Linked DNA regions of Elephas maximus indicus. The protein of the gene in region 1 interacts with the protein of each later gene in a pairwise test. Links are inferred from orthologs where the notes say so. Each region holds a gene or a part of one and is shown in the gene's direction. Other genes may lie near its edges. The genes, in order: SH3GL2, EGFL6 and ATXN2.

The links.
Region 2: the proteins of SH3GL2 (region 1) and EGFL6 interact in a two-hybrid assay, tested with the Homo sapiens proteins (2 studies listed by BioGRID and IntAct). The link is inferred for Elephas maximus indicus from reciprocal best matches to the Homo sapiens genes SH3GL2 and EGFL6.
Region 3: the proteins of SH3GL2 (region 1) and ATXN2 interact in binary tests that used the Homo sapiens proteins (3 or more experiments, as listed by UniProt). The link is inferred for Elephas maximus indicus from reciprocal best matches to the Homo sapiens genes SH3GL2 and ATXN2.

The regions. Positions count from the first base shown.
Region 1 is NC_064827.1:27,493,947-27,502,502, forward strand, and holds the start of SH3GL2 (endophilin-A1), read left to right. Parts: upstream 1-5,052; 5' UTR 5,053-5,145; coding exon 5,146-5,190; intron 5,191-8,556. UniProt on the Homo sapiens protein: Implicated in synaptic vesicle endocytosis. May recruit other proteins to membranes with high curvature. Required for BDNF-dependent dendrite outgrowth.
Region 2 is NC_064846.1:166,091,455-166,099,215, reverse strand, and holds the start of EGFL6 (epidermal growth factor-like protein 6), read left to right. Parts: upstream 1-4,573; coding exon 4,574-4,647; intron 4,648-7,761.
Region 3 is NC_064840.1:9,932,479-9,940,076, reverse strand, and holds the start of ATXN2 (ataxin-2), read left to right. Parts: upstream 1-4,404; 5' UTR 4,405-4,490; coding exon 4,491-4,678; intron 4,679-7,598. UniProt on the Homo sapiens protein: Involved in EGFR trafficking, acting as negative regulator of endocytic EGFR internalization at the plasma membrane.

The DNA.
Region 1 (8,556 bases):
GAATCCCCTGTGCCGTGGAGGGAGGAGAGCTATGTAAGGAAATGTGAAGAAAGGGCACCCCTGAGAGAAAGACCCACACATTCCACCTCCAAAAGACAAAAAAAAAAGTGTGCTTATGTCAGTGCAGTTGCTGGAGAGTGGGGTGTAGGTGACAAATCCGGAGGAAAGACCATGAAGGTGGTCTTTGCCTTGATTTTCCATCTTTAGGAAAGGGCTCCTTGGCCCTGCCCATGCTAGCTGGGGGCCCAATACTACTGACAGCATTCAAAGGCACTAAATCTTATATTAAGGGCTGCTCACCCCAGAACAACAGTCTCCAGAATCCATTACTGGGCTAACATCAAACCCAATGTGGTAGGAATATGGCATCCATGACAGTGACATGTTGTTTGTTCATTCATTAAAAATTCATTCCTTTCAATCTATGATTATTAACACTGATTGGAGGCTCTGCCCTGAATTGAGGTTGGAGGCTGCAGTAGAAAAGAAACCATGGTTAAGCCTCCTCCTTTCATAGCCTCTGTTTTCTCATATGTAAAATAACAAGTTTGGATTTAATGCCCTGGATTTCCTATCTTTCTTATCCTTGACCTGAAGTCAGGAGTGGTTTGCCCTGTAGGCCAGAGCAGCAGTGACAGGGACCGAAGGAACTCTGGAACTCTGGGTCCCCTGAAAGGCATGGGGTTGCAGCAGCTCTGTGCAAATGAGAGGTCTAGTATTTGCCAGAAGCTTTGGCAAAAAAAAAAAAAAAACAAAAAAACATAACACAAGGAGAAGCAGTGCACGAATGATGTGAGGAATTACTGCTGGCTGTGAACTCACTGCCCAATTAGTGAGGTGGTACTGAGAAGAAGTTTCATTGAATGGGGACTTTCCTGAGGGAATCTAGATTTATTTACCATTTTCCATTGACTTTACCTGGGGAGACTATAGGGCAGCTTGTTGATTACAACAACCTTTAGCAGACAAAGTTCTTCCTCATTGACCTTTGCTTTCCCTTCCCCTGTCCTGTGCTTGATTTCTCAGCAGAACCTGTTACAGCCTCTTTGCAAGCAAAGAAAGACTTGTTTGGAATTTTTCAGTGTCTGGTGCATTCTCTGTATTCAGGTCACAACAAATGTCTATAAGAAGGGTTTTCCTAATTATTGACCTGCAAGTCCCCTGCGGTTCAAGGCCCACTCCATACATGTTTTGGTGTCTCTCTCTACCATCTCCGAACACCTACTGTGATGGCTGCTAGTAGGAGAAGCTCAATAATCTCTTTCATAGGAAACATTTCAAAGGTCTTTTTAAGCATACATTGTGGCCTCAGTGACAAATACTGTGTTTAGATGAGGTCCAGGCCATATCTGGAAGAGCTTAACCATGGTTTCAAAAGTCCTTAATTAGTTCTTTCTCCTGGGGTAGCTCCATTGAAGTAAAACAGAGTAAACCTTCTAAGCTTGTGGATGAAGAAACAGGGAAAGACAGAGACTTGCTTTTGTTTAATTTAGATTTCAGTACAGTTTCCACAGTTCTGAGGGGACTCTTCAGGTTCCCATCTCACCTTTCAGGGTTGGAGACCAGGACTCATGAATCTCAGACCCCTCTAATTTGTAGTTTAATTGTTCTAAGTCTTGGCAACTCCCCCAAAATGCCAACCCTGTGAAAATGTTCCATTGCTTAGAGCAGGGAACAGGCAAAAAAAAAATTAACCATGAAATACTTTTTCTATTATACAAGTAACGGGAAAACATTTTAAACGGCGGGCGGGGGGCGGGGGATCCTCTCCTAAATCATATCTGTACTCCAGCCCAGTGGTTCTCAAAGTGTGGTCTCAGCATCACCTGGGAACTTGTTACCTGTAAAAACCCATTGCTGTCGAGTCAATTTTGACTCATCGCGACCCTATAAGACAGAGGAGAACTGCCCTGTAAGGTTTCCAAGGAGCACCTAGTGGATTCGAACTGCCGACGATTTACAGTTAGGCAGCTGTAGCTCTAACCACAATGCCACCAGGGCTTCCAGGAACTTGTTAGAAAAGTTAATTATTGGGCCTCATCCCAGACCTACTGAATTAATCGAAATCTTTAAGGATGGAGTCAGCAGGCTGTGCTTTAACAAGCCTTCCAGGTGAAGTTTGAGAACTATTGCTTAACAAAACAAAAACCAGTTGCCACCTAGTTGATTCTGACTCATGGCGACCCCATGCGTATCAGAGTAGAATTGTGCTCCTTACTGTTTTAATGTTTGATTTTTTGGAAGTAGATCACTGAGCCTGTCTTCTGAGGTGCCTCTGGCTGGACATGAATCTCCAACGTTTTGGTTAGCAGCTGAGTGTGTTCACGGCAACAGCCAGGAACTCCACTGCTCTAGTAGCACAACCGTTATTAGCATTTTGGTATTTTAGGGTAGTCTTCTTATGTGTGTGTTTAAGTGTATGCAGATTTCACCAACCTGTTAGGCTACAAAGGCAGTCATCATAGCACTTACCCTCAAATCTCTAGCCCCACCTACTTGTGCAGTAAGTCCAAACCCTTTCAGAGCTTAATATCGAAAAGTTAGAAATCACCAAGGTGGGTCTCTTTATATGTGAGTAAATGTCCCCTAAGGAGCCCTGGTGGTGCAGTGGTTAAAGGGCTCGGCTGCTAACTAAAAGGTCGGTTGTTTCAACCTCCTAGCCACTCCACAGAAGAAAGATGTGGCAGTTGGCTTCCACAAAGATTTAAAAAAAAAAATTTTTTTTTTTTTTTTTTTTTAAGCCTTAGAAACTCTACAGGGCAGGTCTTCTCTGTCCTCTAGGGTCGCTATGAGTCAGAATTGTCTCAATGGCAATTTTTTTTTTTTTTTAATGTCTTAAAGGCATATCACCTCTTGGACCCTCAATAAGGTCACTTCAGTGGTTTGTCCTCAACTCTGTGGATCAGAAGCCCCACCTGTCTATGGACAACACCTTCATCTTTGGTGTTTCTAAGGGACACAGGTTGTCCCTTGCCCTCACATTCCTTTAGGATTCCCCATGGATGGCAAGAGCTTACTATCCACCTCTCTAGCTGACAATGAAAATGCTGGGTAAGTGGCCAGGGTATGGTCAATCCATCTACCCAGAGCAACTACTACTTAAATTCTCTGCCAAGAAATGGCAGTCATTTTCCCTCCCAATCCACTAATTAAAACTTGTCACAGTGCCCCGCCTAGCCACAAGGGGTTTGAAAAGTGCAATCCTGCCATGTACCTGGAAGGCACATGAACTTCAGTAACGCTCCCACGCTGGAGATCTCCTCTATCTTCTGCTTCTTTCTGCAGACTGGGACACAAGCCCACATGCACCACTATCTGCTTGACTCTGCCTCTATGTGTTTCAGTTCAAATCATCAAGAAGCGCTATGATTGGTAGCCTTGGTGATGCGTAGGATCGCCTTGTATCGGATGCCCACCCCTGCCCAAGCAGCTGTGGCTGTGTGTGTGTGTGTGTGTGTGGTTTGTACAAAGCAGCAGGGGCTGTGGTGGCAGTTACTACCATTTCTAGAATGCTCATTCTACTATATTGCCTCTTTATTCACCTTGGCAATTTTTTTCAAGGGCCCCTTTTTCTGCCTTCTGTCCCTCTGCCTTGTCCTTGGTATATATTTGAACTCCAAGGGAAGACGCAGTTCAAATTTTTTCCATGTGCTACTCAGTCCTAGAAAAACCAGAGGAAGTGGCTAATTACCAGAACAGTGAAGATACCTAGTGAGGTTCCACTCCCAATTCTAATTCCATCAGAGCTTTGCTCTGACCCAGCCATACAGACTTTGTTACATATCTAGTATTTGCACAATTTAATATCGTGCTTTTTCACATTACTGGAGACTGAAAATCCTAAATCCACTACCACTATTGCCCAAGCGTCAAGTTCATATTCAGGCTTTTTCATTTCTGTACACAGAGAATTAAATGTGGTTACCGTAATAATGTCTCATTCGGTTCTTTTCACCTGACCAGCCTGTACCCTTTTATGCTGGGTGGTGCATATGGCGAACGCGAACTTTCTCAGCCTCGGGGGCTTACTGAGAAGCTGCTGTACCACTGATACTGTGTCCTGTGAAAACCAGGAGCCTTTATGACTGTTTGAAACGGAAGAAATGGGCGTGTGCCGCAGATTACTATTTTTACAGGGTGTTGTATGAGGTGTCTGAATTTTTGGCAGAAAATAAGAAATTTTGAAAAATTTAATTCATTACACATATGTACCAGTAGACCCCGGTGGGGACCCCGGAGAAAAATTAATGGTATATTGCATGTACCAAGGGACACAGGGTAGGCTTGTGGGAGGTGCCAAGAAAGAAAAATCCATACTACCTGCCAAAAATTCAGACACACTCAATGATTCAGCATATTTTCACTAAGGAAAACACATGGTATCAACAAAAAAACTCAAAGCAGAAAATGATTGGGCCGCCAAAGGGTTAAGTTTGTTTGTTTTAAAATTTTTAAGTTATTAAATTGTATCAGATCAGAAAGGGGTGTTGGTGACTCTCCTAACGTTTGTATAGGCTTATTGAAACCAGGACAGAGATATATTTTCTGTGACCAACCCAGCGCCGGCAAAACAGAGAAGGAGCAATGACTTATCACCCCAGAGAGAACACCACTCCTCCTTTTCAGGCTGCGGAGAGCCGGGTCAAAGGGCAGGCAGGCAGGCGGCTGGCAGCGCCGCTGCGGCTACCTGCAAGCCGAGTAGTCACCTGAGTCGTGCCAGTCCCCGGGCTGCTCAGCTGCAGCGACCGCTCCGCATCCGCAGGGGCACGGACAGCGCCCCTGGGGCGGAGAAACAGAGCCCTCGGTCTCCGATCCGGGAGCCAGTCGCCGCGCCAGCGTCCGAGCCCGCGGTGGGGCCGGCGCCCAGGTGCTGAGCGCACGGCACCTGCCGGCCGGCCCGCGCCGGGGCGGGGCTTCCCGCGTCCCCTTTAAGAGGCGGCATCACCCGCCCTGACGTCAGGGTATCTCTCCGCACGAGCCCGGGTCCCGCGCCGGCTCTGCGCCCCCGTGCCCACAGCCCCGGCCGCGGCACGACGAGCGGCGGCCCGGCGAACGCGCCGCCCGGCTCGGCCCTCCTGCCCGCGCCGCCGCCGCCGCCTCCTGTCCGCAGCCGCCGCGGCCCGCGTCTGCGCGCCCTCCTGCACCATGTCGGTGGCCGGGCTCAAGAAGCAGTTCCACAAAGCCACTCAGGTGAGGCGCGTGACAGGTGTGTAGCGGGGCGGTTTCGGGGAGATTTTACGGTCCCCGGCCCGGCGCCCAGCGCGCCCCGGCTGCACCCCGCATCGCCTGCCCCGGCCACCGCAGCGGCGGCCCCGGGCATCCCTGGGCAGGTAGCGCGCTTTTCCGCCCCCTGCTCGGGGCGACTCCGCAGGCACCCGTTGGGTCCCCGGCATCCCGCCTCGTCACCCCGCGCGCCGCCAGCGCACTGCCACGCGCGGGCAGGCTGGCAGGGAGGGGACCGCGGCTGCACCGCGCAAGTGCTGGGCGGCGCGGTGGGAGATTATGTAAAGTCGCCTCCTCTCTGGTGACCTTGAGGCGTCGGAGTGCCCAGCCGTCCCGGGATGTGGTGGCAGGAGCGGTGGCCCGCACGGGGGGTGGCTGCGGAGATGCCTGCCATCTGCGCTCCTCCTCGGTGGTTCCCTCCTTCCCTCCTTCCACAGCGTCCTCCGGCTCAGAGGAATGGGAGGGAATGACAGGGGGGTCCTTCAGGGAAGCGCCTGCCTGAACTTTTCGCTGGAGAACTCAGTCGTCTAACTCCTTCGACCCCAGGGATTGACCAGCAAGCTATCTGCGTGCCTTTGACAATTTCCTGTGGGTTTTGGTGTCTTGATAGAGTCAAATTGTTGAAAACTGAAAATTATCATGTGTTTCGAAGTATTTAGCGTGCCTTTTATACCTTGGATATACCAACTTTATGGGGTTACTAGTCTGTGATTATAATAAAACTTATTTAATCCTTGTTCTAATAATTTAAACCTCATTGGGCTAAATTGAAGAACAATAAGTGAATGCTTTCGGTGTGACCTATTTCTTATATAATGTGTATGCTTTTTTTTCTTCTTAAAAATAACTCTGAAACAGGTTCTAATCTAACGGATCTTTAGTTAAGAGCTTTGTGGATTTACCTTTGAATAGTTTAGCCTTAAATATTCTTTTTATAGATTAGCCTTAATTAATATTGAGCTTTTCTCATAAGTTTTCAAATGTAATGAGGTTTTTCCCAGGCTACCACAATAGCAAACCTATTACAAACCACATCCAGAAGGAATGAATTTTGCAGAATCTTAGTTAAATTAGGATGACAGATGCATGAAATTCACTGCACACGAGTGTGTGTGTGTGCACGTGCGCCATCTCTGATCACTGTAGACTTGACTTTATAGAATCAGTTATATTGGTCAGTTTGGGAACTGGGGAAAACTAGAACTGTTTTGGTAAAAATGCCCATTCATGTAATTATTTTTGCTTTTCAGATTGAAGCTTCCTGTGACCTCTGCCTGAAAGGCTTGTAAATATAAGTGCATTGTTGTAGTTGGGGGGCCCCTTGCACCTTTGTACTTCAGGTTCTTCCAGGTTTACGGATCCAGCATATGTTGCCCATACATCCCCAGGCAGAGCAGAGCATCTCTGAAGTAACTAACCTGTCTTGGCCCAGGCACTTGTCACTTCCCTAAAGCAGACCTCAGCTTGACATTTACCAATACCATGTCCTTTTTTTTTGCTTCAATTTTGGAGATTTCCTCTGTAAAGCTTGGTGCCCTAAAAGGCAACTAAGAGTCTTGGCTGCAGAGTGGAAAAGGCCAGGATTTGAACCCACCTTTACTGTCTTTGACTTTGAGTGAGTTATCTGACTTCCAAATCTGTCTTTGCTAAAGTGAAAATGATACCGATTTTCTCAGGTTGATGCGGGAATAAAGGAGTTTGTAATACACGATAAAAAGTGTTCAGTAAGTGATAGCTATTAATCTTAATAATTTTCCTAGTATAAATACTACCTTATATACTAGTAATAACGAGACACGAGGAAATAACAGAAACTCGAATGTTTAGCTTTGCGAACCTAACAATAATCGATTTCATTTCTGCCAAGTCCTGCGGCTATATGTAGCTATAAGATTCAGAATAAAAAATTGAGTTGCGATACAGAAGAACTTCTTAGACGGTTGGAGGAGGTCTATTTGTGCTAAAATCAGATTACTATTTATCGCACTGACTCAATATGCAGGCTTACTGCATTATTTTCTTCTTTTTATTGGAAAACCTTACATTTTAAAGGTGAAGCAACACGTTGACTTATATCCTTAAGTTGGTGTAGCCCAACCATAGAAAGCCCCAGACAAAGATTACTCTTCCTGTGTACATATGTATATTTTGATATGTAAAGTCAGTGCTACTGTTTGCATGCGACAAAGATAATAGGGGAAATGGTCATGCCCTACTTTTGGAGCCGTTTTCCCATACAGCTTCATGAGCCTGATCTTATTTACGAATGAAGCGTTAGACCTGGCACTGTTTCTTCGTGAGAACTGTCTTTGTTTTATTTTACAAAACAGTGGACGTGCTAGATTCTAGCCTATATGTATATGTCCTCTTTAGGCAGCCATCTCTCCAGTTTCCACTGAATTGAGTTTTTTGTTTATTTAGGGGAGATACTTGTATTAGTAGAGCAGCCTGTCTTCAGTGTTTGAACCACTGACTTGAGATTTCTGATTGGCACATCACACCTGTTCTTTTTCATTAAAACTGGTTGTTTCTACCTTGTTACCGACAATAATTTTCCGTATCTCTACTCTTTAGAGGTGAAAAGATGCTTTTGCAACTTTATTACGAAAAAACCCCCAGTGCCATTGAGTCGAGAGGAGAAAATCCTTTAGACTTGAGAATATAATAAAAATAGCAAAAATCGATCATCTTCTCATTTTAACATACTTTATTATTAAATTACTCATAAGGAAATAATTTACCATACAGTTAGAATGAATGAGATAATCTTTTTACTGTAAAATAGGGCAGATGAGCATATATTACTCTACTTTTAGTGAGTTTTATTCATACTGAGATTTCATTTTAGCAAAAGTACTGTTGATTTTTTCACTTGGGTTAAGCCAGAAGTATAGATAAAAATAGCTGTCTGGTTCCAATTAATGTCCTGCTCTTATGCAATTTGTACTTTTTTTTTTTTAAAACTTAATTATCATATATTTGATGTGGGGCTATCTTGCTTTAAACTAAGACGCGTAAGTCTTTTATAGAGTAAAATTTATTAGGTTATTATTTGCATAAAAGGATTCGCCGTAGTATTCTTCTAAACGTGGCTCTCGAATCGTTATTTAAGAGGGCAGTTCAGTTTCTAAATAATATATAACATTACTGTGTCGAATGAGGTATGCTTTCTTCTTTTTAATGGACCTTTTAGGATGTATACCTATTATAGACTGTATCTTCTGATTTTTTTTTTTTTTTTAATGACGGAACTCTTGTTTGGAGAGGCTGTGTATTATGATACAGTTGGGTGTGTGATTATTGCCACACTCACATTTTCCAACTAGGAAAGTT
Region 2 (7,761 bases), on another chromosome or scaffold:
CAGCCTCTGCAACCATGTGGGTCAGGAGAAGCCTTCAACCTGAGGCCTGACCCATGGATTTGGGACTTGCCAGCCTCCACAAGTGTGTGAGCCATTTCCTTGAAATAAATCTCTTCCTCTCATTCCCTCTGTGTGTGTGTGTGGGTGTGTAAACATATATATATATATTTGTTGTTGTTGTTAGGTGCCATTGTGTCAGTTCCAACTCTTAGCGACCCTCTGTACCACAGACTGAAACACTGCCTGGCCATGCACCATCCTCACAATCGTTGTTATGCTTGAGTCAATTGTTGCAGCCACCGTGTCAATCCATCTCATTGAGGGTCTTCCTCTTTTTCACTGACCCTCTACTTTACCAAGCATGATGTCCTTCTCCAGGGACTGACCCCTCCTGAGGTGCAGTCTTGCCATCCTCACTCCTAAGGAGCATTCCAGTTGTACTTCTTCCAAGACAGATTTGTTCATTCTTTTGGCACTCCATGGTATATTCAATATTCTTTGCCAACACCACAATTCAAAAGCATAAATTCTTCTTCGGTCTTCCTTATTCATTGTCCAGCTTTCACATGCATATGAGGCAACTGAAAACACCATGGCTTGGGTCAGATGTACCTTACTTAGTCTTCAAGGTGAAATCTTTGCTTTTTAACACTTTAAAGAGGTCTTTTGCAGCAGACGTGCCCAATGCAATGCGTCATTTGATTTCTTGACTGCTACTTCCATGGGTGTTGATCCTTGACAACCTCAATCTTTTCTCCGTTTATCATGATGTTGCTTACTGATCCAATCGTGAAGATTTTTGTTTTCTTATGTTGAGGTGTAATCCATACTGAAGGCTGTAGTATTTGATCTTCATCAGTAAGTGCTTCAAGTCCTCTTCACTTTCAGCAAGCAAGGTTGTATCATCTGCATGACGCAGGCTGTTAATGACTCTTCCTTCAATCCTGATGTCCCATTCTTCTTCATATAGTCCAGCTTCTCAGATTATTTGCTCAGCACATAGGCTGAATAGGTATAGTAAAAGGATATATATATAAAACAAACCAAACCCATTGCCACCAAGTCAATTTCAACTCATAGCAACTCTATAGGACAGAGTAGAACTGCCCCCATAGAGTTTCCAAGGAGCAGCTGGTCAATTAGAACTATCAACCTTTTGACTAGCAGCTGTAGCTCTTACCTGCTACGCCACAAAGGTTTCACACATATATATGTGTGTGTATATACACACACACACACGCATATATATATATATCCTGTCCCATTGCTGTTGAGTCAATTCCAACTCATAGCGTCCCTATAGGACAGAGTATAACTGCTCCACAGGGTTTCCAATGAGCGACTGGTGGATTCGAACTGCCAACCTTTTGGTTAGCAGCCTGAGCTCTTAACCGCTGTGTGACCAGGACTCCCTATGTGTACATATATGTGTGTGTGTGTGTGTATAAAATGTACATATATATATATAATTTATGTATGTGTGTGTATATATACATACACACGCTTCACGTATATAAATACTTTAAACTGCTGCAGGGTTTAAAGCCAGGAAAGGTATGCATCAGGGTTGTATCTTTTCATGATACCTGTTCAATCTGTATGCTGAGCAAATAATCCGAGAAGCTCTGCGTTATGCAGATGACACAACCTTGTTTACTCAAAGTGAAGAGGACTTGAAGCACTTACTGATGACGATCAAAGGCCACAGCCTTCAGTATAGATTACACTCAACATAAAGAAAACAAAAATCCTCACAGCTGCACCAATAAGCAACATCATGATAAACGGAGAAAAGATTGAGGTTGTCAAGGATTTCATTTTACTTGGATCCATAATCAACACCCATGGAAGCAGCGGTTAAGAATTTCATTAGGCAAATTTGCTGCAAAAGATCTTTTTAAAGTGTTGAAAAACAAAGATGTCACCTTGAAGACTAAGGTGAGCCTGACCCAAGCCATGGTGTTTTTGATCACCTCATATGCATGTGAAAGCTGGGCAATGAATAAGGAAGAGCAAAGAAGAACTGACGCCTTTGAATTATGGTGCTGACAAAGAATATTGAATATACCATGGACTGCCAGAAGAACAAACAGGTCTTTCTTGGGAGAAGTACAGCCAGAGCGCTGCTTGGAAGCAAAACTTCATCTCACATACTTTGGACATCTTATCAGGAGGGATCAGTCCCTGGAGAAGGACATAATGCTTGGTAAGGTAGAGGGTCAGCGAAAGAGAAAAAGACCCTCAATGAGAGGATGGATTGACACAGTGGCTGCAACAATGGGGTCAAGCATGACAACTGTTGTGAGTTTGGCACAGGAACGGGCAGTGTTTTGTTTTGTCGTACATGGGGTCCCTATGCGTCGGAACTGGCTCCATAGCACCTACCAACAACAAAATATGCTTCACTGGTTTTACTCCTCTAGAAACCCTAGCCTAAAATACTCCTCAGGGGTAAGAAGAAAAGAAAACCAAACCTGTTGCTGTCAAATCAATTCTGACTCATAAGGACCCTATAGGACAGACAGAACTGGCCCATTGGGTTTCCAAGGCTGTAATCATAGGGTTGCTATGAGTTGAATCGACTCAATGGCAACTAGTCTTTTTTTTTTTTTTTTTACAGAAGTAGACTGCCATATCTTTCTTTCAAGGAGCAGCTAGTGGGTTCAAACCACCAACCTTTCAGTTAGCAGCCGAGCTCTTAACCGCTGTGCCACTCCTTAGAAGATGAGAAAGAGGATTTAAATAGCAGCAACGGAGCTCAATGGACAGAGAAGCCCTGAGTTGCTGACCCCCTTCTCCTTCAGAGTAGAACTGTGCTTCACAGGGTTTTCAATGGCTGATTTTGGGGAAGAAATTCATCAGGCCTTTCTTCTGAGGCACCTCTGGGTAGACTCCAACCCCCATCCTTTCAGTTAGCAGCTGAGTGTTTCAACTATTTGTACTACCCAGGGAGTTGGTTGTCATTAGTTGGAGTTGACTCAGTGGCAGCTGGTTTACTTCACAAGAGTTGTGGGGTATTCAATAAGATAATATCAGTAAAGTATTTAGAGTAATGCTTGTCACTATTAGCTATGAACAGCTCAGTGGTCTAAGTCATTATTGACCAAGGATATTGAATCCATTAGGACGCTTTCAACTGTAAAACAGAAGATCCAACTAAAATTGGCTTACATAATGACATCCATTACAGCCCACTGCAAGAATCTGTAGAAGTATCTCCCCCACCCTCACTTCTTCTCACATTTCATTGCTAGAATTAACACATATGCCCATTATATAACCAGGAATCAAGCTTATCATCAAGGCAAACCTCCTCTTTCTCCATATTATCTTCATCATTTTATTTCTGACACTAGTTCATAGGTGTGTCAACTAGCTATTGCTGAGTAGCAAACAATCACTACAAGCTTTAGTGGCTGGCTCTGCAGATCTGAGCTAAGCTCACTCATGTGTCTTTAGGTTGGCTAATATACACTAGGCTTGACTGAGTGGCTCTGCTTCAAACCATAGGTCTGCAAGTCGACCAGGTATATCTGTGGCACCTGTCCCTCATCCGCCTTGGACCACCACTCGCTAGCTGGGACATGTTCTTCTCATGTCTATGACAGAGGCACAGGTGTCTAAAGTCTATGCTTGAAACTGGCCCATTCCAGCTTCTGCCCACACACCATGGGTAAGTTACACAGCCAAATCCAAAGTCAAGAGGCAGGGCCATACACTCCACCATGAAGCTACAAAGGGGTGTTTGCTGGGAGAGGGTGAAGGAGGGACCAATCATTCATTCCTCCAGAATAAATAGGATTGTCAGAACAAAAAACACGTAGGTACCCGAATGAATTCTCTGAATTCTGTAGCATTTGTGTTTCGGCCATCAGTTCCTGCACTGTTCAATTATACCTGACAATTTCATCTTGCAGTCCCATGTAAATAAGCTGTTGCAAATGAGCACGGAGAGAGCATTTGTCAAATGAAGGGGTTGCCCAAGGGCTTGGTGACCTTCCTGCTCTAAGCACGCTAGGATTTGAAGGTTGTAAGAAAACCTAGCAGAATATTAAAAACTTAAACAGAAGGTAGCAGTCTCACTAGGAACCTGCATCCCCGGTTCCCACGTTGACTTCTCAACTAAATTCTTAGATCCTGGAGAGCACGCAGGTACCACTGAAACCAATTCCGGGGCCTGAAATGGATAATGGTTCTTGGTGACTCCGACAGAGGGGACTGAACTGCATCTGGGGAATGTTCCTGTTGAACAAAGCGCAGAGGATGCGCGGGTCCTGCTGGAGGCGGGTCCCAGCCAGATGTGCATGGCCCGCCCTCCCTGGCTGGCTCGCCCGGGTCCGCTTCTCAGAGGAGCCCAAGCGCGCCTTCCCCGACGTCCCAGCCTCTCCTGAGACGCGCGCGCCTCGCCGGAGCGCCCGACCCGGGAGCTGCGGGAGGAGCGCAGCCCTGATCGGCCGCAGAGCGAGCAGGCGGTAGTCCCGCTGCGCCCGCATCCCGCGTCCGGGCACCCTCCTGAGGGGGTGCAGGGGGAGGAGCAGTTGACCGCAGCAAAGGAGGGAGGCCCCGCGCCAAGATGCGACCACCCTGGGGGCTCGCGCTCCTGCTGCTGCTCCCCTGGGTGGCAGGTGGATTAGGGAGTGCAGCCAGGTGAGTGGCTGGCTTGCGATCGGCCCCTTCTCTTTGTCCCGGGTTCCTCCAGGCATCCCCACGCGTGTGTGGGTGTGTGTGCATGCGTGTGTCTGTGCACTCTGAGACTGGATTTCTCGCAATGCTGCGAGGCCGGAGCGCACCCGGACTTTCCTCCAGCGCCCCTTTGGCTAATCTTTGCACCCAGTGCCCTTTGCATCAGCTGCGCCCCACCTGGCTGCGTCCAGCAGGTTACTGGAGGGAGGCCGGGCGCTGTGAGCGCAGACCTCTGGGCGGGTGTGGGTTTGGTGGTCTGCAGACATCGACTGTAGGTAGGGGCGGGTGTGTGAATATGCGTGAATGTGTGCGTGGGAGGCGGGGGGGGGGCCGAAGGTCTCGTGTGTGCAGTTATGTATTCTCCACTCTGTACGGAGGGTTCCAACTGGTTGTCCGTCTCTGCTTTTGCCGTGGAAGAAGGGAAAGAAACTGAGGGGCTAGAGAGTGAGCTTGGGCTGGGTTCCCGCTCACAGGACCTGTTGCGGGCGGACTCCTCCGCTCGCTGCCTTTTTGAGGGTTGATGAACTGGTAAGAGAAAACGGGGTCGTCATATGAAATCCCCTCGCTCTTCTTGATATAGCAATTCAGAATCTGAAGCCATTTCCTTACTTTTCTAAGCCCTGAAACTGACTTTTCCAGGAACTTATTTTCCGAAACCCCTTAATAAACACCCACTTATGTGTTTTTACACAGTGCTCACTGTGGGCCTTGCATTGTTGTAAGCACTTTGAGAATATTAAACCATTTATACTTCCTAACAACCCCGAGGGGGAAGTACTAGTAGAGAAACAAGGCACAAAGAGGTTGAGTAATTTGCCCGAGGTGGCACAGCCAGTATGTGATGGAACTGGAATTCAAATTCAGGCAGTCTGGCCCAGAGTTCTTGCTCTTAACCAGTACACTAGGGTGACCTCTTGAGAAACCTCAGCTGGAGAAGGCTTCCTGCTTCTCTGGTTCCTATGACTTTTTGCTACTTAGATGTCTACTGGGTCAGCACCAGGCACTATTGACCTTTGGAGCTAGATAATTTGTTGGGCTTGGGGCTGTCCTGTGCACTGAAGGATGTTCACGAGCATCCCTGGTCTCTACCAACTAGATGCCAGTAGCACCCATCCTCCAAATTGTGACAACCCAAAATGTCTGTGAACATTGCCCAGTGTCCCCTGGGGAGGGCAGAATCACCCCCAGGTGAGAACCCTTGAGCTAGAGAGACCTTTAGTTTATGATTCCCAGGCAGAGCAAGATGAGAGCTTCCTAAAGGGGAGCTGGACTCTCTTTGCTTGACTTACAGGAAAATATCTTTCATCAGAGTCAGCCAAGGTATTAAGGGATTCTGAAGTTCAAACAACAAACCAGGTTCTGAGAATGTAGGATTCATCAAGTTTCAATTTCCTTTTCATGATAAAAACGTGAGCAGATGCAATTTGCTCATAATCACAGTTTCCTTGCACGTTGGAAGTTCTTGTATTGCTAGAAAGTCCACTTAAGACAGACCAAGTGCTATTTGGAGACAGGATTAATAGTTCTTTAGCAGTCAGCAAACAGACCTCCAGAGCTCCACTTTCAAAGTGCCACCAAATTAAAATAAAAGCCGAAAAGCTCCTGAATCAACCAAAGAATATTAAACTGGAGGATCCGTGTCAGGATTTTCCAATTCTGCAGTTTTCAAGATGTAAGAAGTGGTTTCCTTGCACAGTATCAGGTTCCTGAGCTGGTGTGGGTATTATCTGCTCCAGCATGCTCCCAACTGTTAAGTGGTCCACTCTTCAGGAACTGCGCGGGAACCACAGGTAATCAACTCCAGACTCCAAGCCACGCCAACACAGTTACAGAGAAGGCAACACACCCTGCAGAGATGTGTGCCACCTGGGTATTTCCTGGGGTTTCACAATTTATCCTAAAAACTGTGGCTACTATATAGAGATGTCTAATGTATGCACCCTGGTGACATAGTGTGGTTAAGAGCTATGGCTGCTAATGAAAAGGTCAGCAGTTCAAATCCACCAGGTGCTCCTTGGAAACCCTATGAGGCAGTTCTACTCCGTCCTATAGGGTCCCTATGAGTTGTAATCAACTCAGTGGCAACAGGTTTGGTTTTTGATTTTTGGAATGTATGCACTAGAGTCCCTGGGTGGCACAAACGGTAAAGTGCTCGACTACTAACCGATAGTTTACAAAGAGTCCAATGGAGTCCCTGGGTGGTGCAAACGGTTAACACACTCGACTGCAAACCGAAGGGTTGCAGGTTCTAGTCTACCCAGAGGCACTTTGGAAGAAAGGCCTGGCCATCTACTACTTTTTTTCCTCTCCCTCTTTTTTTTTTGTATTGTACTTTAGACGAAGGTTTACAGAGCAAACAAGTTTCTCGTTAAACAATACACACATTGTTTTGTGACACTGGCTGGCCATCTACTTCTTAACCACCGTACCACCAGGGCTCCATACAGCGCACTAGATAAAACATATTCTTAAAATTAACATCACCTTTTAAAAATTTTTTTTAATGTGATTAGAAACAGTTGCTCTACTAGAAAATTTCAAATGCCATATGTGGCTATTATATTTCTATAAATATAGACAGCACTGGTCTAGACTATTTGTCCGAACTCCATCTTGTGTGTTCCAGGTTCTGACATGCAGGTTTCTTAAGGATTTTTTTGCCTTGAGCACGTAAGATAAATATATTAACTTTGCTATCCTTGAGAATCAAAATTGGAGGAAGTCCCTACTTCTAACAGATTCCTATTCTACATTTTTTTTCTCTATTGAATTCAAGTAAAAATCACATGACAGGTGAGGGAATGACTAGGTACATGGTGGCTCTGCATTCATGGAGAGGGGCCTGCTGACTGCAAACCACATGCTATGTTAGGAATTGATTCTTCTCAGAGCCCCATTTTAAGGCAATGTATTCATTTCCTGTTGCTGCTGTAACAAATTACCACAAACATAGTGGCTTAAAAAAACACAAAGTTATTCTCTTGCAGTTATGGAGGTCAAAAGTCTAAAATAAGTCTTGTTGTTGCTGCCTGCCTTGCAGTCAATTCTGACTCATAGTGACCCTAAAGGACAGGGTAG
Region 3 (7,598 bases), on another chromosome or scaffold:
AGCGAGTGAATGAGAAAGGGCAGCCCAAGGCACAAGGCACAGCTTTTTTGTACACTAATCTCGGAAGTAAAAACCCATTACTTTTTCTCAGCTTTTGTTAGAAGCAAGTCACAAGGTTCAGACCATACTGAAACCAGTTGCCACCGAGTCGACCCCAGCTCATGGTGACCCCGTGTGTGTCAGAGTACAACTGTGCTCCACGGACTTTTCAGTGGCTAATTTCTCAGCAGTAGATCTCCAGGCCTTTCTTCTGAGGCACTTCTGGGTGGACTTGAATCACCAGCTTTTCAGTTAGCAGTTGAGCTCGTTAACCGTTTGCGCCACCCAGGGACTCTGCTGATACTGAAGTGGTGGGGATTTCACAGTATGAAAACAGGAGGCAAAGGTTCATTTAGGGCCATCTTAGAGGCTGCCTACCACACCACTTTAAGGAGCAATACCCTGACCTAAGCTAAAGCTTTCTGACATCACAGTTGCTGTTAAATAACCATGTTTTCAGAGGTCTGGAATTCAGGCAAACAATTTGCAGTAAGAGAGATACCTTGGTTTTGGGTGGTGATCCTCTGTCCACAAAGAAAAAGGAGAAGGTATAAACTAGAGTTGACAGTAGAGATTCTTTTGGTTTCCATTTGAATATAAAAGCAGAAATCAAATTTTTAAATTGTGTTAAACATATATGTAACAAAACGCTGGCCATGTCAGCATTTTTTACATGTACAGTTCGTGAAATTAATCACAGTCATCTTTGTTCAACCCTTATGACTATCCATTTCCAAATTTTTCATTACCTTTAATAAAAGTTTGGTGGCCCCTAAGCAATGAGTCCCTGTGCTAGTCATCTACTGCTGCTATAACAGAAATACCACAAGTGGGTGGCTTTAACAAAGAGAAATTTATTCTCTCACAGTCTAGTAGGTTACAAGTCCAAATTCAGGATGTTAGCTCCAGGGGAAGGCTTTCTCTCTTTGTCAGCTCTGGAGGAAGGTCCTTGTCCTCAATATTCCCCTGGTAGAGTAGCTTCTCAGGTGCAGGGACCCTTGGTCCAAAGGATGTGCTCTGCTCCCAGTGTTCCTTTCTTGGTGGTATGAGGTCCCCAACTCTCTGCTTGCTTCCCTTTCCTTTTTCTCTCTCTTGAGATAAAAGGTGGTACAGGCCACACCTCAGGGAAACTCCCCTTACATTGGATCAGGGAGGTGACTTGGGTAAGGGTGGTGTTACAATCCCACCCTAATCCTTTTAACATAAAATTACAGTCACAAAATGGAGGACAACCAGAGAATACCGGGAATCATGGCCTAACCAAGTTGATAAACACATTTTGGAGGACTCATTTCAATCCATGACAGTCCCCCTTTCCTCCTCCCTCCTGCTCATTTGCCTCTAGTAACCACTAGTAAACTCTGGTCTCTCTATACACTTGCCTATTCTAGATATTTCATATAAGTGGAATCATACAATATTTATTCTTTTGTGTCTGACTTACGTCCCTCAGCATGTTTTCAAGGTTCATCCATATTGCAGACTTCATTTCTTCTTATAGCTGATTATTATTTCATTGTTTATGTATGTACCACATTTTGTTTATCCATTTATCTGTTGATGGATATTTGTTGATCCACTTTTTGGCTATTGTGAACAACGCTTAACTCAACATTGGTGCACAAGTGCCTTTTTGTGTTCCTATTTTCAATACTTTTGGGTACACCTGGGAGTGAATTATTGCTGAATTATTTGCTAATTCTTTATTTACCTCTTTGAGGAACCACCAAACTTTTTCCCACAGAAGCTGAAGCAGAATATCACATTTTGATGATAAACTCTCATATCTTCCTGGTGTTAATGCAAAGTGGTACAGCCAGTTTGGAAAATATCTTTCCAAAAAGTATCTTTAAGAAGTTAAATATAAATGTACCATAACCAAAAACCCAAGTCCATTGCCATCGAGTTGGTTCCGACTCGTAGGGACCCTATAATTTACCATGAAAAAAAAAAAACCACCCAGCAATTCCATTCCTAAAACTCTACCCAAGAGAAATGAAAACATATGTCCACACAAAGAAATATGTTCATAAATGTTCCTAGAGGCATTATTCCTAATAGCCAAAAACTAGAAGCAATCTAAATGTCCACCAGTTGGTAGATGGATAGATGTACAAAATATGGTTCATTCATGCAATGGAATACTACTCAGCAATAAAAAAAAAGAGTACTGATACATGCTGCAACAGGGCTGAACTTCAGAAACATTGTAAGTGAAAGAATCCAGAAACTAACGACTGCATACTGTTGAGATTCCATTTATATAAAATGTCCACAATAGGGACATCCATAGAAACAGAAAGTAGGTTAGTCGTCGTCTGGGCCTGGGGGTGGAGATGGAGAGTAACTGCAAATGGCTTTGAGGGATCTTTTTGGGGTGATGGAAATGCTCCGAAATCAGTGGTGATGATTGCACAGGTCTGTAAATTTACTAAAAGTAAAAAAATCAGACACTTAAAATGGGTGAATTTTATATTATGTAAATTATACCTCAAGGAAGCCATTGCAAAAATTGCACTGATAATGGATGGGAACTTGAGCTCTCTCAGCCTACATGAAATCAAGTTCAGCTATGTCAGCTTCAGGCCTTCTTATTCTACTTCCCTTTTTCTTTCCGTCTGCCAGGAGTCTGATGCTAAGATTGAATTCTGAGAACTTAGTCCCATATATTGCTGTCAAATAATTAAATCAACGAAAGTTGATTGTATCACTATTGTGGTTCTTTCTTTTTCCATCTGGTATTTTATTCTCAATTTCTTTGGGTTAATTTTTAAAGGATTTGTAACTGTTGGTTTAAAGGAATAGCTTAAATGGGGTGGGGGGGAGGGGGAGCTGACTTCCTAGTTTTCAAATGTTTGTGGAATACAAGGATCATTTTTACCTGGACTATCTAGGAGATTAATTTCATTTTGGCTATTAGAGATACCTGGCTTAATCATTCCCCCAAGTTTTTCCATATCTTTCTCTTTATCTGGACAACTCTAGGAGACAGAGGGGAATTTTGTTGCTTTTTTCCCCTGTCATTTCCTGAAATAATTTCACTTTTAAACAAACTAGATTCTTCACTGGGGGGGGGGGGGGGGAAGTCGTTATCTACTTGCTTCCAGCTTAATTGCAACATATGTAAAGAACTGACTACTGTGCTGGCTGGCGCCCTAAGTTAAAGTAAAACTTCTAAAGGGGCCAATGTCTAAAGTTCGCACATTCTTGTGAGGTCTGTTCTGTCTCCACTGAAGGAGACCCTATTATCCATAGCGCTACCAAATCACGTACATTTCCTTTTGAGTCTTATGAATGGAGGAAACGAAGTTCAAGTGAGGGGTAAAAAATGGGTTCAGACGAAGGTCAGGTACCCAAAAGAGTTTTCTGGTTACCGTGTTGCTGGAGTGGAAAAAGTGGGGAAAAGGTAACCAGATGTGGGTGGCCCCAAGAGGTTGCTCCAACCCCATTAGTTAGTCTTGGCAGGGAAAGTGAGCGCGGCCTGCCTTTGGGCCACCCAGTGCCACTTGAGGGCCTACTGTGTGCCAGGCACTGTTCGAGGTGCTTTCTACGTAGCACGACAGTCTCCGCCCTGCAGGCGCTCGCAAGCCCATTTTCTAGGTTGCATCAGGTGGGGGCCCACAGGGCTCCTCCAAGGAGTCTGAGGACGTTGGAGGAACACTCGGGAGGAGGGGGCCACTTTCCTCCTGTCCCCTGCACTAGGCCGACCCAGCAGGCGAAGACCGACACGCCCTCGCAGGAGGCCAGACCCGCCTCGAGGAGGGCGGACCCAGGCAGGGCCGGACGCCGGGCCCTCACCCGACCCTCGCAAACGCGCCCCAGCGCAGCGCCCGCTCCTCACGTGTCCCTCCCGGTCCCCGGTCGTCTCACGGAGTGCTTCCGCCCGACCCTTCCGACTTCCGGTAAAGAGTCCCCAGCTCCGCACCTCCGCGCCCACCCGGCACCGCCACCCAGTGTCTCGGCGTGCCCGGCCTCGGATGCGGTCGGCAGCCGCAACAACTCGGAGCCCCGCGGCGGCCGTCGAGCCTCGCCGTTTCGCCGCGGTCAGGTGGCCGGGGCGGTGCTCGCTCCCGCGGCCGGCGCGGCGGCGCGGGCGGGGCGGTGGCGGCGCGGCCCCGTATCCCTCCGCCGCCCCTCCTCCGCCCGGCCCCGGCCCCCCTCCCTCCGGGCAGCGCTCGCCTCCCTCCGCCTCAGACTGTTTTGGTAGCAACGGCAACGGCGGTGGCGCGGCCCGGCTCGGCTCCCGGCGGCTCATCGGTCTCAGCGGGCCTCCCCGCCCCTTCGTCGTCGTCCTCCTCCCTCTCGCCGGCCCCGGCGCCCCCCCGGCCGCGCCAGCCCGCGCCTCCTCGCTCCGCGCCCGCGCGTCCCCGCCGCGCTCCGGCGTCTCCTCGGCGCGCCCGGCTCCCGGCTGTCCCCGCCCGGCGTGCGGGCCGGTGTATGGGCCCCTCACCATGTCGCTGAAGCCCCAGCAGCAGCAGCAGACCGCGGCCGCCAATGCCCGCAAGCCCGGCGGCCTCCTCACGTCGTCCGCCGCCGCGCCGGCGCCGTCCTCGTCCTCGTCCTCAGCCACCGCGTCCTCAGCCGCTGCGTCCTCCTCGGCGGCGGCGGCGGCGGGCGGCGGGCGGCCTGGCCTGGGCAGGTGGGTGTCGGCGCCGAGCCCCCTCTGCCCGGGCCTGGACGGCCGGGCCTCGAGTCCCCTCCCCCGCGGCGCCTTTCCTCCCGTGACCGGCGGGGCCCGGGGGGTGGGCTGGGGGCCCGCGGTGGGGGCGGGGGCCTCTCGGGCTGGAGCCGAGGGGCTGGAGGCTCCCACGGGGCTTCTCGGCGATTGTCAGGCCGCGTCCAGTCTCTTGCACCATCCCCACCCCCTTCCCCAAACGGTCAAGATGGAAGGACCGGGCAGCCGCCTTCTCTCGGTTTCCACGCTCGGGGGGGTTCACAGGTCTCCGCAATTGTCAGCCCCGGTTCCGCCTTCTCTACGCCTCCCTCTCCTCGTGGGGGGGGGTGCTTGGGCAGCACCCCCACCCCTAGTTTAAATGTTGATGTTGGCGGGGTCCTGGAGCTCCCGAAACATGTCTTCTCCACCAGTGGGGAATTTCGGGGGAGGGGGGATTGGACAGCGTCCCCTCCTGTTGAAGGGCGCATCTGGGATCGCTGGGGTCTGTCCGGTCTCCCTTGACGCCCCTCTTCCCTGGCCTGGAGACGGTCGAAGGACGGGGCGGAGGGGTGGGCAGTGGCCTCCCGCCCCCTCCCCATTGAAACCTGCGATCGTGGGGCTCCGGGCCGTCCCGGGCAGCGTCCTCCGTCCCCTACCTGGGGCAGGGGTGGGACGGCCCTCCCCGCAAGGCCTCTCCTGCCGGGTGGCGGCCCAGCCGCATTGCTGTCGGAGGCCGCCGAGGAGCAGGCGCCTTTGAACAGGGTGGGCGAGGGCCGGGCCCCGCCGGGCCGCTGCGGGAAGCGGGCCGCTGCGCATTTTCTCACTACCCCCGCTTCAGTCGCCGGAATTTCGAGGGAAGAGGAATTGCCGCGGGGGCATGAAGGGCTCCTGAAGCAGAAATGCGGGTGTTTACTTGCGACCCCCGCCCCCTCCCCCTAACTCAGGCTTGTGGTGGGGGCCCGGGGGCTCGGTGTGCTTTCAGCGAACTGGCTTTGACTCTGGAGGGCGTGTTTGCGTGGGAAGGCCTGTTGGGGGTGGGGGGTGGCTGTCAGTTCGTATTTCATGAAGTAAGAAAATGCTTAGTGTTCAAACTGGGCAGCAAATGTCAATAGACTCCATTCCATTGTGGCCGGTGTCCTTAACTTGGGGAGTGCCGCCAGAGCTTACCAAGGGCACACAAGTCCATTTCCCCTGTGCCCCGGGCCCCTCCGTGGTGCAGGCACTGCCATGCCTCCCTTAGGCCTAGGCAGAACTGGCAAGGCCAGTGACCATTGTCCTCCTTAAATAGACATACTGGTCTTTCAAAGGTGGGCTAAGGGAGTTTTTCATACACTGAGTTTTCTTTTTGAAAACAAATTTTCAGCGAAATGTAAATACTCGTTTACAGCAGGCGAACTTTACCTATCCAGATGATTCAGAGCTGGTTTTTAAGGAATTCTCCCTTCAGAGGGGGGACAGTCACTTTTTTGGCTTCTCCTCCCCACAGTCCCACGGTTTCCCCTTCTCTGAAGCACCCACCAATGCTGCCTAGCCCAACAAGTTCAAATGAATGATAGTTTCTGCAGCTCTATACACTTAGCATTCTGTAACTTCAAGTTTCCCTTTTTCAGTGGCAATGATAGTGGAAAACATTTAAAAGATACAGTTTTATAGAAGAGGGTGCTTTTTTTTTTTTTCTTTTTAGGTTTTAAAGGTAGAAATATGACAGATACCTTGTTCAAATAATTAAAAATTAAAACTAAAGGTTTTAAATTGCATTTGCCCTCCCTAGGCTTAAGCATTACATTATTCAGAGTAGTTTGAATGGTCAAAGATAGCTGAAATGTTTTAGTAGTACAGATCTTTTTCTGTTCCTTAAGGCTTCATAAAAACTTAGAGTTAATTTCTTCCTTGCTTTAAATCCTTTTATTTGAGGTATAAATTGTAGCCTTTATTCTTTTTCCTAAATATGCAAAGTTTTGTTTAATGTGAAATTCACATAATGTGAAATTTTACTCTTGAGCACATCTTTAGTTAATGTACTTGTAGAGTTGCTTTTATGAATCACCTTTACTGGGTTCTTTGTAAACCAGTTACAATATCTAGAATCTCCTCACTTAACATTTGAATGCATCAGTGGTAAAATAAGTTTCTGAGCAGGGGTAAAGGCAAAGAAAAAAAGCATCATTGGGTTTGACATGGTTAAAAGGAGCAAAATATTCTTCAAAGCTTTGAAATTCATGTCTGTTTTAAATAGCATAACATATCATCAGATTTGATTTTTACTTTTTTGGTGAATAGTGGATTTTTATGGCCTTTACAAAATGATTTGTTCTGTCTTTTTCACATACTTTTGAGAAGGTGGATTTTTTTTTTTTTTAAGGAAAGAACAATGTAGCTACAATATTAAAATTGGAAAGTAATTTATTTTAACCCAATTTTTATTTTTGCCTTTTATTCTTCAGTTCTTATCAATGTATTTTTATGTTCTTGCATTGCTGATTGCATGTTATTTGTATTTAGCTTTTTTTTTCGTTAGTATTGATATGTATATATGGTTTCTACTCGTATTGTTGGCATTTGGGTTTCCGCTTTTTTGTTATTATAGATAATTGTGCAGTGAACATCTTTACACTAAAGCTTTTTTGCTTCAGTGTAGTTATTTCCTTTGAGAAAGTTCCCAGGAGTGACATTACGAGGTCAAAGGGCTTCAAGATTTTTACGGCTCTTGCTCACTGCCGAATTGCTCCTCAGAAGATTTGTATTAATTTCCAGTGCAGAGAAGGTGGATCTTCTTTAGAATGGCTTCTTTGTAGTTTGTCAAACACTGGAGGGCATTTTGAAGGGAAAAGTTGCCTTTACTGTGAAGTGCACACATTAAGTGCTTTTGTTAGTTACCTGATTGTTTACATTGGAGTTTGAGTTT